2 linked regions of the Pelodiscus sinensis genome follow. The protein of the gene in region 2 purifies or fractionates together with the protein of the main gene of each other region. This does not show direct contact. Links are inferred from orthologs where the notes say so. Each region holds a gene or a part of one and is shown on either strand. Other genes may lie near its edges. The genes, in order: HJV and TMPRSS6.

Region 1 (7,427 bases), on a different chromosome or scaffold from region 2:
CTGGTTGTTATGGGGTACCTGGAGCTGTCTGTGGAAGTCCTCATCACTTTGAGTGTAGACGGTGGCTGACATCCAGCGATCCCCCAAGCGCTTTCTACAGAGATAGGCAGGGTTATCTGCTTTACAAATGGTGGGACACTGGGGGTGTGTCTAAACTACATGGCTCCATCGATGGAGCCATGTAGATTAGGCTGATCGGCAAAGGGAAATGAAGCCGCGATTTAAATAATCGTGGCTTCATTTAAATCCGCAAGTGGCTGGTTGCTTTCTCTTTCTCGGCCAGGGTACATCTAAACTACATGGCTCCGTTGACGGAGCCATGTAGATTAGGCTGATCGGCAAAGGGAAATGAAGCCGCGATTTAAATAATCACGGCTTCATTTAAATTTAAATGGCTGCCACGCTGAGCCGACAAACTGCTGATCAGCTGTTTGTCAGCTCAGCGCACTAGTCTGGATGCTCCCACGCCGACCTGAAAGCCCTTCATCGACCTCCCCGTTATGCCTCATAGGATGAGGTTTACTGGGGAGGTCGATAAAGGGCTTTCATGTCGGCAGGGAAGTGTCCAGACTAGCGCGCTGAGCCGACGATCAGCTGTTTGTTGGCTCAGCGCAGCAGCCATTTAAATTTAAATGAAGCCGCGATTATTTAAATTGCGGCTTCATTTCCCTTTGCCGAACAAACAAATCTACATGGCTCCGTCGACAGAGCCACATGCTTTAGATGTACTCTGGCAGAGAAAGAGAAAGCAACCAGCCACTTGCGGAGTCAGGAATACAGACTCCGGCTCTCCTGAGTCCTGGCATGGCTTGCTAGCCGCTCCCAATTTGCTCCTGGAGGGCCACAGACCACGCGCCGCATGCAAGCACAGCAGCAGTTTCCTCCAGAAACCATGTGGTGAAATCTACCTACGCTGATCATAAGAGCCACCAGGCTGGGCCAGACCAAAGGTCCATCTAGCCCAGAGCTGGCCTTGCCATGAGGGGAACTGAGGCAGCTGCCTCAGGTGCCAGACTGGGGGGGGAACGCCATAGGACCCAGAGTGTAGAAAATTGTGCCCGCTGCTGTTAGTTCTCCTTTGTTGGGGTACGTAGCAGAGCAGTCCCGTGAGAGCAGAAGAACAGGAAGAAGGCAGAAGTGAGACCTTTCAAAGTTTTGGCCCAAGTGAAGGGGCATGGGGGCGTCATTTGAGCTCCCCGCCTCACATGCCAAAATGTTGTGGGCTGGCCCTGATTTAGCCCAGCCTCCTGTCTGCCGACAGTGGCCAATGCCAGGCGCCCCGGGGGAATGAACAAAACAGGGAATCATCGAATGATCCCTCCCCTGTCACCTGTTACAAAGCTTCTGGCAAACAGAGGTAGGGACACCTTCCCTGCCTGTCCTGACGACCATGCTGCCGACGGACTTGGATCCCGAGCAGGAAGGTAGCAGGTGGGAGAGGCGGCAGTCAAGTGCCTTCCAGTACAAACATAAGAACGGCCGTACTGGGTCAGACCAAAGGTCCATCTAGCCCAGTAGCCTGTCTGCCGACAGTGGCCAGCACCAGATGCCCCAGAGAGGATTGACCGAAGACAATGATCAAGCGATTTGTCTCCTGCCATCCCTCTCCGGCCTCTGACAAACAGAGGCCGGGGCACCATTTCTATCCCCTGGCTAATAGCCTTGTATGGACCTAACCTCCATGAAATTATCTGGCTTCTCTATAAACTCTGTTATAGTCCTAGCCTTCACAGCCTCCTCAGGCAAGGAGTTCCACAGGTTGACTATGCGCTGTGTGAAGAAGAACTTTCTTTTATTAGTTTAAAACCTGCTACCCATTAATTTCATTTGGTGTCCTCTAGTTCTTCTATTCTGGGAACTAATAAATAACTTTTCTTTACTTGCTCCAGCCAGTACCTGTCACAGCTCTAAGGAAAGCCTTCTAGCAGAATCTTGTGCTGCACTGGGCAGCCTGCAGGCCACAGGCAGCCCATCGGGGTTCTAGGTCTGGCCTGTAAGACGTTTCGTTTACTGTAGCTAACGCGCAGGGCTGCCAGATTCCACGGGTTTCTGCCCGCGTAGCTTTTTCCTACCGCCGTTACTAAGGGGACACACACGCAAAGCCAGGGCACGTGCAGGGAGAGGCGGGCGGATCGCGCCCAGCACCGACTGTGTGCTCCCTCTGTAACCAATCACAGTGTGGCGACGGTTCCATCGGCGCCCCCTGCAAACTCTGCACGCGCAGGGAGCAAAACCGCCCTGGCCTGGGAGACCGTGTTGGTGGCGACAATCCTGCAGCCCCTGTGATGGAGGCCGCACGGGTGGCCCACTCGCTAGCCTGGCTCGCCCAGCGCTGATCGGGTGGAAGGATCATGCCTCCGCTTAGCTGTGGAAATGGGAGGGGGAAGATCCCTGACCCGCCCCCAGGCCTGGTGATCTCTGAGCAATCACTGGGTTGACTTGCCTACAAGACCGTCACTTCCCCGGCCGTAGGGTGCATGGGGCCTACGCCGGACTGCGAAGCTGGTGCCCCGAGGCCCAACAGCAGCCACAACAGTTGGGATTTGATCATCTTCAGCCACACGCCAAGGAAAGAGGTTTAAAGCAAATTCTTAACTCGGGGCCTGTCGACCCGCATAGTCAGTTCGGCAACGGACAGGCTAGACCTGGGGTTGGCAGATGCGTGGGAAACGGTGTCGTTGATGCTGACTGGCTCTTTCCCAGGCTCTGCGAGTAGCTCTACCTGGCTTTGTTACTTTCCAGCGAACTGGATCCTCTCCGGAGGAAGCAGAACCACAGGGACAGGAAGAAGCGAGAGGGTGGACATTAAGACCCAGCGGTGCCTCAAATTTTCAGGTGCCCTACGCAGCTGCGTATGGGTAAAGACGGCCCTGTCGCCCAGGTTTGCAAGATGGGGGGAGGGGCTCACCTAGCGCCCCTACAAAAATCAGACTCGGTTCAGTCAGGAGGCCCTTGGACTGCGGCTGAGACACAGCCCCTCTTCCGCCCCCCCCACCCCCCCCGCCGGCCCTGTGCCGCAAGAGACTCCCTTTGTACCTCTGTCCCTCAGGGCAAGTGCTGGGTCTGAACGAGCCGCCGGCTTGTTCTCCTCTGACTCCCTCGCGCCACGTGCCCCAGAAGCCGCCCGCCTCTTGCAGGCGCTTTCTCCAGCTCTGCCTGTTGCAACCGCGCTTGAACTTTGGGGTGTTTGACTAAGCCGGTAAACAACACGGGAGCATCTGAGCTCGCGGCAGGAGCTAATGATCAACCCATCGCTCGCCACCAAAAAGGAGCCAAACGGCCCCGTGATGGGGCCCGGGTTTTGCCGTCGTCCCGCCTGGCCGGGCGGAGAGCGTAGGAGTCCTAGAGCCGAAGGCCAGAAGATCGTCGGGTGCAGGGCAGGGCTGCGAACGGGTAACCGGTTAACGGGTTGCCCAGGGAGAATCACCCTTAATGGGTGACACCTACTGGCTACTGGTTAACCGGTACCTGGGAGCAGCCCCCCTTGTCCAGGACCCACTGTGGGTGGAGGGCTGCTCCAGGGGGGCTGGGAGCAGAAGCCGCCCCCCCCCCCACTCCCAGAGCTGGGGCTGCCGGCTCCTGCTTCTGGCCCCCCACGTGCAGGGGTGGCAGCTGGAAGCCATAAGCGTGGGGAGACCATCAAGAGCAGCTCCAACCATGGGGGGCCAGGACAAGAAGCTTCCCCCCCCCCCCCCCCAGGATCCTGCTTAACCGGTTAATGGACTAACCAGGATTTTACATCCCTAGAGCTCTAACCATGCCCGTGCGCCTGCGTTCCCCTCGCACCTCCTCCGCAACGCGGGCCCTCCCCATCCCCTTCGCACCGACCCGCCTCCATCCACTGCCTCACCCCCGCACTGGCCACAGATCCCCGCCTCTCCCCGCCCACAGCCACGGCACCTCTGCGACTGTCCCCAACTCAGCACGTGCCCCTGCCTTTCCCGCCGGGGCACAGGTGTTCCCACACGCTCCCTCCCCATCCGCGGCCTGTGCATCACCATTCGCTGCACACGCCCTTTCCTCCCCTCGGCCTGCCAGGCCTGCCCACCCAGCAGACCCCATCCCGGCCTCCCCCGGCCAGGCTGACATCCCTGAGGGGAAGCGGGTCTCATAGGCAGGGGGAGGCGTTGCCTTCCCAAACCGCCAGTCTGGCCCCGCCCAGACTCTGCCCCCAGACCGTCTACTGCAGGCACACTGGGGGCGGAGGGTTGCTGCCCCTCAGCGCCCGCCCTCCCTGTGCTCCCGGGCTGGGGAGGCTCAGGCCACCCGCCCTCCCCACAATCTGGTGGTTTGGCTCCCACGAGGGCAAGGCCTGGGCAGAAGGGGCCGGGGGCTACCTTCACCCACCGCCCATGGTCAGCGCACAGGCTCCGGGAGACCAACAGACCTCACGGCCCTTCCCGCTCTCCACCCTTTGGAGAAAGCCCCAGGGATATCCCCTCCTCACTCGGGCGCTGGCAGCTTCCTGCGGACAAGTCCCACAATCTCCGGGTCCGCTTCCCGCCAGCGGAGGGGGTTTACCCAGCCCCCGGGGCTTCCTCAGCAAAGGGCTGAGGGGGGACAGCCACAGAGGCGCCCTGCGGGCGGGTTGCTGGCACCTGCTTTTCGACGACCAGCCCGGCGTTCTTACCAGCAAACCTTGAAGCAGGGCAGCAGCAGGGAGATTCCAGCCAGGCAGCCTGTGCCATCCACCTGGGGCTGCGGCGCTCGTTCCCAGGCCCCTACACCTGCTCCTTGGAGGGTACGTGCCAGGAGAAGGCTCCGTCTCCGGCAGCAAGAGGAGCCAGGCTGCACCCAGGGACTCCATGCCTGGGGCCAGAAATCTGGGGGCCTCCCCACCCCCTCGTTACCACTGTCACGCAGCAACGTCCCCCTCCTGTTGAAGGCACGCAGCGCAGGGGACAGGCGTTGAAATAGATGGGACTAAATTTAGCCCGACGATGACCCAGCCAAGAGGCACAGGCACATGGTGCGGAGAGGAGCCCCAGAAATAGTCACTCGCTCCCGGTGGGAGACAGGCAGTGAGCTCGGCACTGTCCAGATCTGCACACTCAGGATGTGAATGGTTAAACGGTCGGCATCACCCTTCCCAGGCCCGGCCCGGTCGGAGCAGTGCACCATGGGCAGGGGTACTATAGCCCGTCCAGAGCAACCCCTGCCCATGGGGGGGGCCACTCTGGCCAGGTCCCCCCCTTCTCATCCCTGTTTAAGCAGGTAACTCGTTACACATAACGTTTAACGTAAGTTCACTGATGAAGCAGGATTTTACATCCCTCAGTGACACTGAGCGGTTGAGCAGGCCACGTCTGCAAATTTCCACGGGTGCAAATTTCCACGTGAGCACACGAGCTGTCCGTGGCGAGTGTTAACAATCCTCATTCCTCCCACCCCGGGCAATGCCACGAACCTGCCGCACCTCCCCAGCGAAGAGCCAAAGGAGCCGGGGCGCACTTACTCCATCACAGAAACGTAGGGCTGGCAGGGCTAGTGAGAAGTCATTAAGTCCAGCCTCCAAGTAAACCTAGATCATCGCTAGATTTGTTCAACCGGTTGTGCAAAACCTCGATTCATGGAGATTCCTCAGCCTCCCCACCTTGCTCCAGCTGTGTTGGCCTTTGGAGTACAACACAATGCAACAACAACAGCTCTTCTAAATGACTTTTCAGCCATGGGGCTCAAAGCTTTTTACAAAACAGGGTCAATATCACTACTCCCATCTTACTGGTGGGGAAACTGAGGCACGGAGCAGCAAAGTGACTTGCCAAAGGTCACCCAAGAGGCCTGTGGAAGAGAATCCAGGTCTGTTGCATTCCAGTCCAGTGTCTGTCTACTAGGCCCCAGGGTGTATGTTGAGGGACTGACTAGTATATGGGAAGGTTGGTGAAAGACACTTATTTTGGATTGGTAAGTTTGGAAGCTACTAGTAGAGCTGATTGACTTTTTTTTCCCCCCTCAAAAAATGGATGACAAGTTTCCATTTTCACTGAGATCCCCACAACTTTCTATGGATTTATACCAAATCCCATGTAGGGGGGGGGGGGGGAAGATTGAAATCCCCCTTTCAAAAAAAATGAAACAAGGCGTTTTGATACTGTCAACATTTCTGACTTCGATGTTTTCAGAAGGGAATATTTTGATGTTTCCATTTCAAACGGAACGAATGAGACTTTTCGTATATACGTGAAACAGGCTTTTCAAAGGTTGACAATCGGCAGGGAACATTTGAATGTTCCTGACTTGCCACTATTTTGGAATTTGTTTTTTCCAGGACATTTTTTTGTTTTAAATCAGTGTTTTCAGACTGTTTCAGAAGGGAAGAAATTTCAAGCTAGCAGGATTTCTCTTACAATCCCATTTCCGCCCAGTGCTAACCAGAAAGAGGCAGTGTTACCCAGTGGATAGAACACTCAACAAGAACCAAGTAGAACTGGGGTCTATTCCTAGCTCTGTGAGGATGGGAAAACCCTTCCCTTCTATCCCACCCTTTGTCTGTCTTGGCCTTAGGCCACAAATTCTTCCGAACAGGGGCTTTCTCCTTTGGCATGTGTGCTCAGCACCTGGCAAGATGGGGTCGTGATTTCAGGCAGCAGCCTCTAGGGCAGTGTTTCTCAATTTTATTTGACCACGGAACCCTTTTAAACTCAGAAGAATTTCGAGGAACCCCTACAGCCAGGGAAAATTTGTCAAGCAAAAAATAAAAAAATAAAATAAAAATCAATCACCACCAGGAAAATGTGTCGAGCAAATAAAAAATACCTGCCACTGAGGGGGGGGGGGGGCGCAAAATGCCATCCTGCATGTCCTGAGTGGGCTTTGGAAACGCAGAGTGGCAGCGGGGGAGGGAAGGTGCCAGTGGGAAATCAGAGAAGATGCTGACGCCTCTGTCTCTTTAAGGGGGGGAGGTGATCAGGTTCTTGCGGAACCGTTACTTTCACTTCGCGGAACCCTGGGGTTCTACGGAGCACCGTTTGGGAAACACTGCTCTAGAGGCTACTGTCATATTAACTAAGTGGTGAGTGGACCTTCCCGGGGTAAGCCAGGAAGTTTTGCAGATGCTGAGCCATGTTAAGTTTTGCATGGAGGTTTTACACATTTTGCATATTGCCTGTGAGAGTCCCTTAATGAACCAGAGCAAGACTGGTCATTAATGGGCAATACAACAGTGACCCCTTATGCATGTGCTCAGGAGAGATTCAAATGCTGCTCAACTGATTAACAGAGTGCCCACAGCTAGGTTTTTTTGTATCTGTTGGTGGTGCACATTCACACATGCCTCTGTGTCCATAAAAATTTTATTCCACACATGGATGGAAAAAAATCCACGCGTGGATGAAACACAGTATCATTAACTAAGGTGTTTCACCATTATTTTCCCGTAAGGGAGGAAAGCTAGAGATTCTATTAAATCCACTAGGAAATTTGCGACT
Region 2 (7,932 bases):
TGGCTTTTGCTGCAGCTCAGCCAGCTCTTGCCGGAGCTGCTCACCAGGGCGCGCCTGCTTGCTTTTATCTCTGTCTTTAAGGCTCCATGTTCCAACTTCCAGTAATGAAAAGTGATTAATGCTAGACTCTGTTCAGTTGATCAGAGGGAGCTTCTGTGTAGAGACCACTTATGTATGACAGGCAATCACAGCCACCATAATTTGTCAGCTGAAGGACAGAGAAAATGGACCAACCTGGAGAGCAACTTCTTGCTGGAAATAGGGGGCTTGTTGAAAAAGAAATTTTCTGTGAGCAAAGATCAGTGCTGATGTAATTTACCATTGGGGAAAATAAAAATAGAATACTGGGAGGAGGTTGACCTTAATCTCTGCATCTGCCTGAGCCACTTTGGAGCTCTGTGGCAGTTGTAGTTCCAGATCCTTTCTACTTCCGTTCTCCTTTATGGGCCTTGTCCCTTGCAGGACTACATTTCCCAGGGTGTACCATGGTCTGTCTCTGTGCTGTTTCATTTTATGTGGATAGTACAAGACAAAACATTTCAATTCAAGAATGCTAGAACATTGTTTCAGTAGAACATGTCCAAAAGTAAACCCTTTAATAATACCTATTTCATTTTTTTCTGGACTTTTCCATATTTCAGTTTGGGCTGAAAATAAATGTTGAATTCTCAGGATTTCCTGTGGGATGGAAATTCCATTTTTGATCAGCTCTCATCCAAAGCCCCCTTGGAGTAAGAATGGAGGTTGCAGCAGCTCTTGTCAGCAAGACAGCTGGCTGCTGAGCAAGATCACAACCTAGGTGTAACTTTCACATAGGAGAGGGAAGACAGAGTCCTGAAAAGCAAATTAATGTGGACATAACACTTACCCAAAGGCATAAACTGTGCTGGAATTGTAATATGGATCCAAGTCCGTGACACGAATGAGTTCTCTTAGCTGTAACAAGAATGCTATCTGATAACTACCCAGCAACAATACAACAGCAGACTTCCCTTGGGACCCGCCCAGTGCTCCATCCCTCTCTGCTTGAAGTATAATCCACCTCAGATTCCATTTGCAGAAGCACCCAGGACCCATTCCCCCACGCACAGAACTGCCTCAGTCCTGACCCCACATAAGAAACCATCCTCACCATCTTCTGTAGCTTTGCTGACTCAGTCCAGAAGGCTCTGGATTCTGGCCGTCCAAGATCCAGGGAGTACTGATAATTGAGGATCCGGAGGCTGCCTGAGTAGAACTGCAGAACAGTTGATTCCAAGTGCCGTGGTCTGTAGTCTGACAACAAAAGACAGACAGATTAACCACGGGCGTGGAGAACAGAGGGCTCTTTGGGGGAAGGAACTTAGCTAGCATCTACATTGGCTTCCTCGTTACTAGGCCAGGTCAGCATTAGCATAAAGAACAAAACGCCTTATAATTGTTACCTAGGAAATACCAACTCAGTGCTCCAGCTCCAGCCAACAAAACAAGGACCATCCAGAGGGGTGCATAGCGCAGGCAGTCACGAGCCTTCCTCTTGGTTTCATCCTCAGATGGGGTGTTTGCATCTTCCTGTTGCTCCTCAGCCTCCATCATGGGCATCTAGTCCAGCAGCAGACCAGGCATCAGGCTGGATTCTCAGTACATCCCTCACTCCCTTCCTGTGTACCCTTTGCCATCCATATCTTCTTATCTGTACCTCTCCTTATTATCCATGCCAGATCCCAAGGACCTTGCTATTGCTTTCACACACAAAACTCTGTTGAAATCCCATGGGAGTTTATTCAGTTATTTACTTAGGCAGAAGCAGAGTGAAACCTTTAGGATCATGCCCTAACCACCCTCCTGTTAGCTCTCTGCCTCTACTGTCTGTACATCCTAACTTTTCAGTGTGTTCCCCAGCATGCCCATGTTTCCTCCCCAAAGGTCACTGAATGCAATCAGCAATGCAGACCACTGAGCTCCAAGAATATGCAGGGTAACAGCTGTCAAATGCTGCATACCCCACTGTACATAAGAACATAAGAATGGCCGTACTGGGTCAGACCAAAGGTCCATCTAGCCCAGTAGCCTGTCTGCTGACAGTGGCCAACACCAGGTGGTCTGTAAGGTATCTTGTGTCTACCCTACCTCACCCTACTTCCCTCTGGCGTATATTAGCACCCCGCAAGGTAATTCAGTTCTCTACCTGCCACATGGCCATCTTTACTGCTCCTCTCACAACACCTGATTGTCCGACTTATTCCTGCCTACTCCCTTTCTATGATTCTCTGCTAAGTACCACAGCCTGCCAAGACTGGATGCTCCTGGGCCGCTTTCCCTCTGCAGCCCCTTATTAGGCCCTGTTAAAATCCTATCACCCATAACCTTTCAACATTCTAGCAGAGGCCAAAGGATTTGCATATTTCCTTCACTGATGAGTGAGGTATGAGCATGCATGAATGTGAATGTGTGGGAGTGTGCAGGGGGGTTAGAGAGCGCCTGAGTGTGTATGAGCGTGTTCCAAAGCGTATATCCAGGGTGCTCTGTCTGCGCATGCATTGGTTAGTGAGTTATGTGCATCGCATGGGCCTGTGCCGGTCTGTGCTATGGTGCAGGGATGAGGGGTGCATGTTAGAGGAGGTCCCTAGGGGGCTGAAGCATGTGTGTGAACAACAAAGGGCAGCCAGCATTCCCTACTCACTCCGATACCAACCCCTCCCAATCCACAACTTTGCCCCTCAATACAGACACATGTAAAGAGTGTTTAAGAAGAAAAAGCAATTCAATGGAAAACATTTAACTTAACAAGAGCTGGCACAGAGACAACAATGAATCCATGAACACCTCCACTTCCTGTCTCCTACAGGCCTCTCACATGCGGCAGAGATCCGAATACACCAACCCTTGCTCTTCTGCTTCGCTGTGGTCTCCTTTTGGCTAATGTTTTCCAGTGGGTATCCCCCACCCAGGAGGGGGGCAGGAGGAAGGAGTGAGGGCCTTTACTCCACCTTCAAAGGAGTCCTCCAAAACAACAGCCGCACCAAGAACCACAAACTGATCAAAAAGAGCCTCAATTTGCTAGCAGATCAATTCTAGGCACTGGGGTTTCCCCAGAGCTACAGACCTACCTTTGAAACCTGCAGCTGTGCATGTGGCTGGGCACGCACACATTGGTAGAGACGTGTTTACTCAAGCCCAAGGCCTCTCTGGCAATCAATAAGCTGAGGCCATGTCCCTTTGTTTTGGTCTTTGCCCTGTCCGGCCCTACAGAGGGCTGAGCATGCCCCGGAGAGCCACAGCTTTCTCTAATGGAGGCTGACTCTGAGTGAAGGGAGGTTTGCTAACAGACTGGATCTAAAGGCAGTGAAGAGATGATGCTGTAAACAGCCCAGGGTAACAATCCTCCTGCCCCTTGGGAAGCCTAACGTGGAAGGCAAGTGCAGCTGGATCACAGATTCCCCTGGGAGGCAACAAGTTGCACAGCAACTGCTTTCTGTCTTAGTTACCTCCATTGGTCCCAGTGGCAATAAAGGCAAAATGGCACCGGCTGTTCTGAGGAGATAGAGATGTAGCCGTGTTAGTCTGGTGTAGCTGAAGCAAAATACAGGACGATGTAGCACTTTAAAGACTAACAAGATGGTTTATTAGGTGAGGAGCTTTCGTGGGCCAGACCCACTTCCTCAGATCAAATAGTGAAAGAAAATAGTCACAACCATATATACCAAAGGATACAATTAAAAAAAATGAACACATATGAAAAGGACAAATCACATTTCAGAACAGAAGGATGATGGGGAGGGGAGGTAAATGTCTGTGAGCTAATGATATTAGCGGTGATAATTGGGGAAGCTATCTTTGTAAAGGGTAAGATAATTAATGTCTTTGTTTAGACCGAGGTGTAAAGTGTCGAATTTAAGCATGAATGACAGTTCAGAGGATTCTCTTTCAAGTCTGGTGTTAAAAGGTCTTTGAAGCAGGATGCAGGTAATCAAATCGTTGAGACAATCCCTTTCTGGTTGAAATGGCAAGAAACTGTTTTTTCTTTGTGATCCTGTCTAATATCTGTTTTGTGGGCATTGATCCTTTGGCGAAGTGTCTGAGACGTTTGTCCAATGTACATAGCAGACGGACACTTTTGACACATGATAGCATAAATTATATTTCTGGATGAGCAGGAATATGTGTTCTTGATCTTATAACTCACTTGGTTAGGTCCAATAATGGTATCAGCAGAGTGAATGTGTGGACAAAGCTGGCAACGGGGTTTGTTGCAAGGGAAGGTTCCAGGGTTGGTATTAGTGTGGTATGTCCTGTGGTTGTTGGTAAGAATCATTTTGAGCTTAGGTGGCTGTCTATAGGGGTATGTCTACACTACCCCGCTAGTTCAAACTAATGTAGGTAATGTAGTCATCCGCAGTTGCAAATGAAGCCCGGGATTTGAATTTCCCGGGCTTCATTTGCATGAAGCCGGCCGGCGCCATTTTTAAATGCCGGCTAGTTTGAACCCCGTGCCGCGCGGCTAGACGCGGCACGGACTAGCTAGTTCGGTAGTGTAGACATACCCTAGGAGACTATGGGTCTGTCTCCCAGAGCCTCTCGGAGTATAGTATCCTGTTCCAGTATAGGTTGTAGTTTATTGATAATGTGTTGGACAGGTTTAAGTTGGGGGCTGTAGGTGATGACAAGTGGTGTTCTATTGTTGGTTTTCTTGGGTCTGTCTTGAAGTAGATGGTTTCTAGGTATTCGTCTGGGTCTTTCGATTTGTTTTTTATTACTCCGGATGGGTAGTTTAGGTTTATAAATGCTTGGGTAGAGATCCTGAAGTTTCTGGTCTGTCAGTGGGATTAGAGCAGATGCAGTTGTATCGAAGGGCTTGGCTATTTACCTCCCTCCCCCTCCTCCTTCTGTTCTGAAATTTGATGTGTCCTTTTCATATGTGTTCATTTTTTTATTGTATCCTTTGGTATATATGGTTGTGCCAATTTTCTTCCACTATTTGATCTGAGGAAGGTGGGTCTGGCCCACGAAAGCTCATCACCTAATAAAACATCTTGTTAGTCTTTAAAGTGCTACATAGTCCTGTTTTTTGTTCTGAGGTGGTGAGGGAGAGGAGTCTCTTGCTGGGGCAGTGGGCTGGACAAAGGAGAGACAAAAAACAAAGTCTCAGAGAGGCAGCCGTGTTAGTCTGTAGCTGCAAAAACAACCAGGAGTCCTGTGGCACTCAAGGCTATGTCTACACCTCATGCTTATTTAGAAATAACTCACATTATTTCAAAATAACAGAGTGCACATCTACACCGCAAGCCCTTTATTTCAAAATAATTTCAAAATAACGGGCTTCTTACTCCGACTTTTGTAACCCTCATTTCACAAGGAGTAAAGGAAGTCGAAGGAAGAGTATTCTTCCTCCAACCTCCTGCTGTGTAGACAACAGCAAAAGCTGAGTTAAGATATTTTGACTTCAGCTACACAATTAACATAGCTGATGTTGCATATCTTAACTCTAGCCCACAGTGCAGATGTACCCTTGGAGACTAACATATTTATTAGGGCATACACTTTCATGAGTAAAAGGCTATTTCATCAGATGAATTGGAGTGGAAATGATGACAGAGGAGGTAATTTTGTTGAAAGTACCACAAAAGAAAGGAATTACTTATCAAGTGATAAGGAGGCTAATCAAATCAGGGTGGAGGTGTCTCTTTCACTGATAGGGAGATGTGAATATCAAGAGTGGGGAAGTGGCCTTTGTAATGTGTTAACCAATTGAGATCTTTATTCAGGCCTAACTGGATTGTATTGAATTTGCAAATGAATTGCAGCTCAGCTGTTTCCCTTTGTAATATAATTTAGTTTTGAAGTGTTTTTGTAGAAGGATGCTACTTTTAAACCCAATACTGAATGTCCGGGGAGATTAAAATGTTCCTTACAGATTTATGTAGGTGGCAGGGGCTAGCACTATCCAAACCATTAGCACTGGTAATAACTACGCAAAGCTTTGTCAGTGTCTCTCACATGACTTGACCCCCAGTGTCTTTAACTATTGTGGAAGAAAACATTGTCCTCACTCTGAGTTTGTAAGCAACAAGTAGCCAGAGGCAGTTTTATTACGAGCTGCAGCAAGGGAAAAACTGGTTCGGACAGGGGGGCAGTCCCCCCCCTCACCGAGGCAGATCTTCGAATACAAGCAATTATGAAGCAGTTTATATACTGTCTATTAAATATAATAACAATAGTAATTAGTCTCCTTCCCATTACAAACACTAATGGCTAACAGTTATTTAGTTCCACCCAGATGCTCCTTATCTCAAGGTCCCTACCAGAGTCAGCATTCTATCCTTATCTCCGTATGGAGGCGAGAGGCGAAGGCAGCGTCTAATTACAGATCTCGCGTTGTTAGGCCACAGACTTAGCCTGACTCTTGCTCTCTTGTTAACAAGACCAAGATGGCTGCACACAAATTCCCTTATTCCCTTTTCCTGCCTCCACAATCCCCCCTTTTGTGCTTACAGCACAACTACCTTTCTAAACCTTTATTTTCATTAAACATTACATAATTAGTACAAACATTAAAGCTATTTCTATTACTACATCTTTTACAACAACAATCAAATATGAAACTTTTAATAAGCAAAAGCAATATAATCATTAATATCCCCAATATAATTCTATGATGGGGCTGTTCTATAATTTTAGTAACATCATACAACATATCATAATTAGTAACCAAATTAGGGAGGGCAGGTACATGCTGATGGTACCTGTCCATAAGCACAGAGTCCAGATCAAAGGGAGAAACCCAAACCACTCCTACAAGTTTCTCCTTGGCAATATACAATACTTCGCTTCTTTCACCAAGGTCAGTTCTTAATGTCCTTTTGTAGTCAGAAATCTTTGGCCTTTGGCGGTGTCAGAGGAGCAGACTTTTCCTCTTTTTTTTCTTGAAACAGTCGTGGTTCAGCATCATGCAGGGGAGGGGTTACCAGCACATCACCCTGGGTGTGTCTAGACTACATGCCTCCTTCGACGGAGGCATGTAGATTAGCCAGATCGGAAGAGGGAAATGAAGCCGCGATTAAAATAATCGCGGCTTCATTTAAATTTAAATGGCTGCCCCGCTCTGCCGATCAGCTGTTTGTCGGCAGATCGGGGCAGTCTGGACGCGATGCGCCGACAAAGAAGCCTTTCTTCATCGGCACAGGTAAACCTGGTTTCACGAGGCTTACCTGTGCCGATGAAGAAAGGCTTCTTTGTCGGCGCATCGCGTCCAGACTGCCCCGATCTGCCGACAAACAGCTGATCGGCAGATCGGGGCAGCCATTTAAATTTAAATGAAGCCGCGATTATTTTAATCGCGGCTTCATTTCCCTCTTCCGATCTGGCTAATCTACATGCCTCCGTCGAAGGAGGCATGTAGTCTAGACACACCCCCTGTAATATTTTGGTGGTTCTGGTGTCCAGCAGGTAGGAAAGCAGGACCAGAAGAGAGAGGCTTATCAGCAATCGGGGTAGGATCATTTCGAGATGGAGGGATCTTTTTGCAGTGAGAAGCATTGGCCAACAGTCAGTTCTTGGCACTTCACAGAGGTGTTGGTGGTTAGCAAAACTTGGTAAAGGTCTTTCTAGAGCAGTCTTTCGCTGATGGACATACGAGTCTCTATTCTCTGAGCTAAAAGCCAGCTAGCTCCTTTGGAACCAAGGTTATTTCCTAGGAATAAAGCAAACCGTAAAAACGATCCAGTGTGGTTGTTTGGTTGTTTGGTACCAGCCTTATCAAAGTGAGGCCCTTTTGGAATGTGGTTGCCAGGGGAACCAGGGTCACAGTAACTGTTGAACTGTTTTACTTCCCAAGCTGGCCTAATACTTTCAGGTTTGAGTTGTCAGTTCTCAGCAAGATACCATGGACTGCCTCAGTTTACTCCTATAGTTCCTTTCTTTTGACTTTGGGGTTCTCTTTAACCTACCAAGTTA

What was found.
Region 1: the proteins of TMPRSS6 (region 2) and HJV purify together in Homo sapiens (co-immunoprecipitation; 3 studies listed by IntAct). This does not show direct contact. The link is inferred for Pelodiscus sinensis from reciprocal best matches to the Homo sapiens genes TMPRSS6 and HJV.

The regions. Positions count from the first base shown.
Region 1 is NC_134734.1:20,002,019-20,009,445, forward strand, and holds the start of HJV (hemojuvelin), read right to left. Parts: upstream 3,100-7,427; 5' UTR 3,037-3,099; intron 95-3,036; 5' UTR 45-94; coding exon 19-44; intron 1-18. UniProt on the Homo sapiens protein: Acts as a bone morphogenetic protein (BMP) coreceptor. Through enhancement of BMP signaling regulates hepcidin (HAMP) expression and regulates iron homeostasis.
Region 2 is NC_134711.1:92,947,706-92,955,637, reverse strand, and holds the start of TMPRSS6 (transmembrane protease serine 6), read right to left. Parts: upstream 3,115-7,932; 5' UTR 3,090-3,114; intron 3,085-3,089; exon of another isoform or gene 2,806-3,084; intron 1,582-2,805; coding exon 1,425-1,581; intron 1,276-1,424; coding exon 1,133-1,275; intron 937-1,132; coding exon 869-936; intron 1-868. UniProt on the Homo sapiens protein: Membrane-bound serine protease. Through the cleavage of cell surface hemojuvelin (HJV), a regulator of the expression of the iron absorption-regulating hormone hepicidin/HAMP, plays a role in iron homeostasis.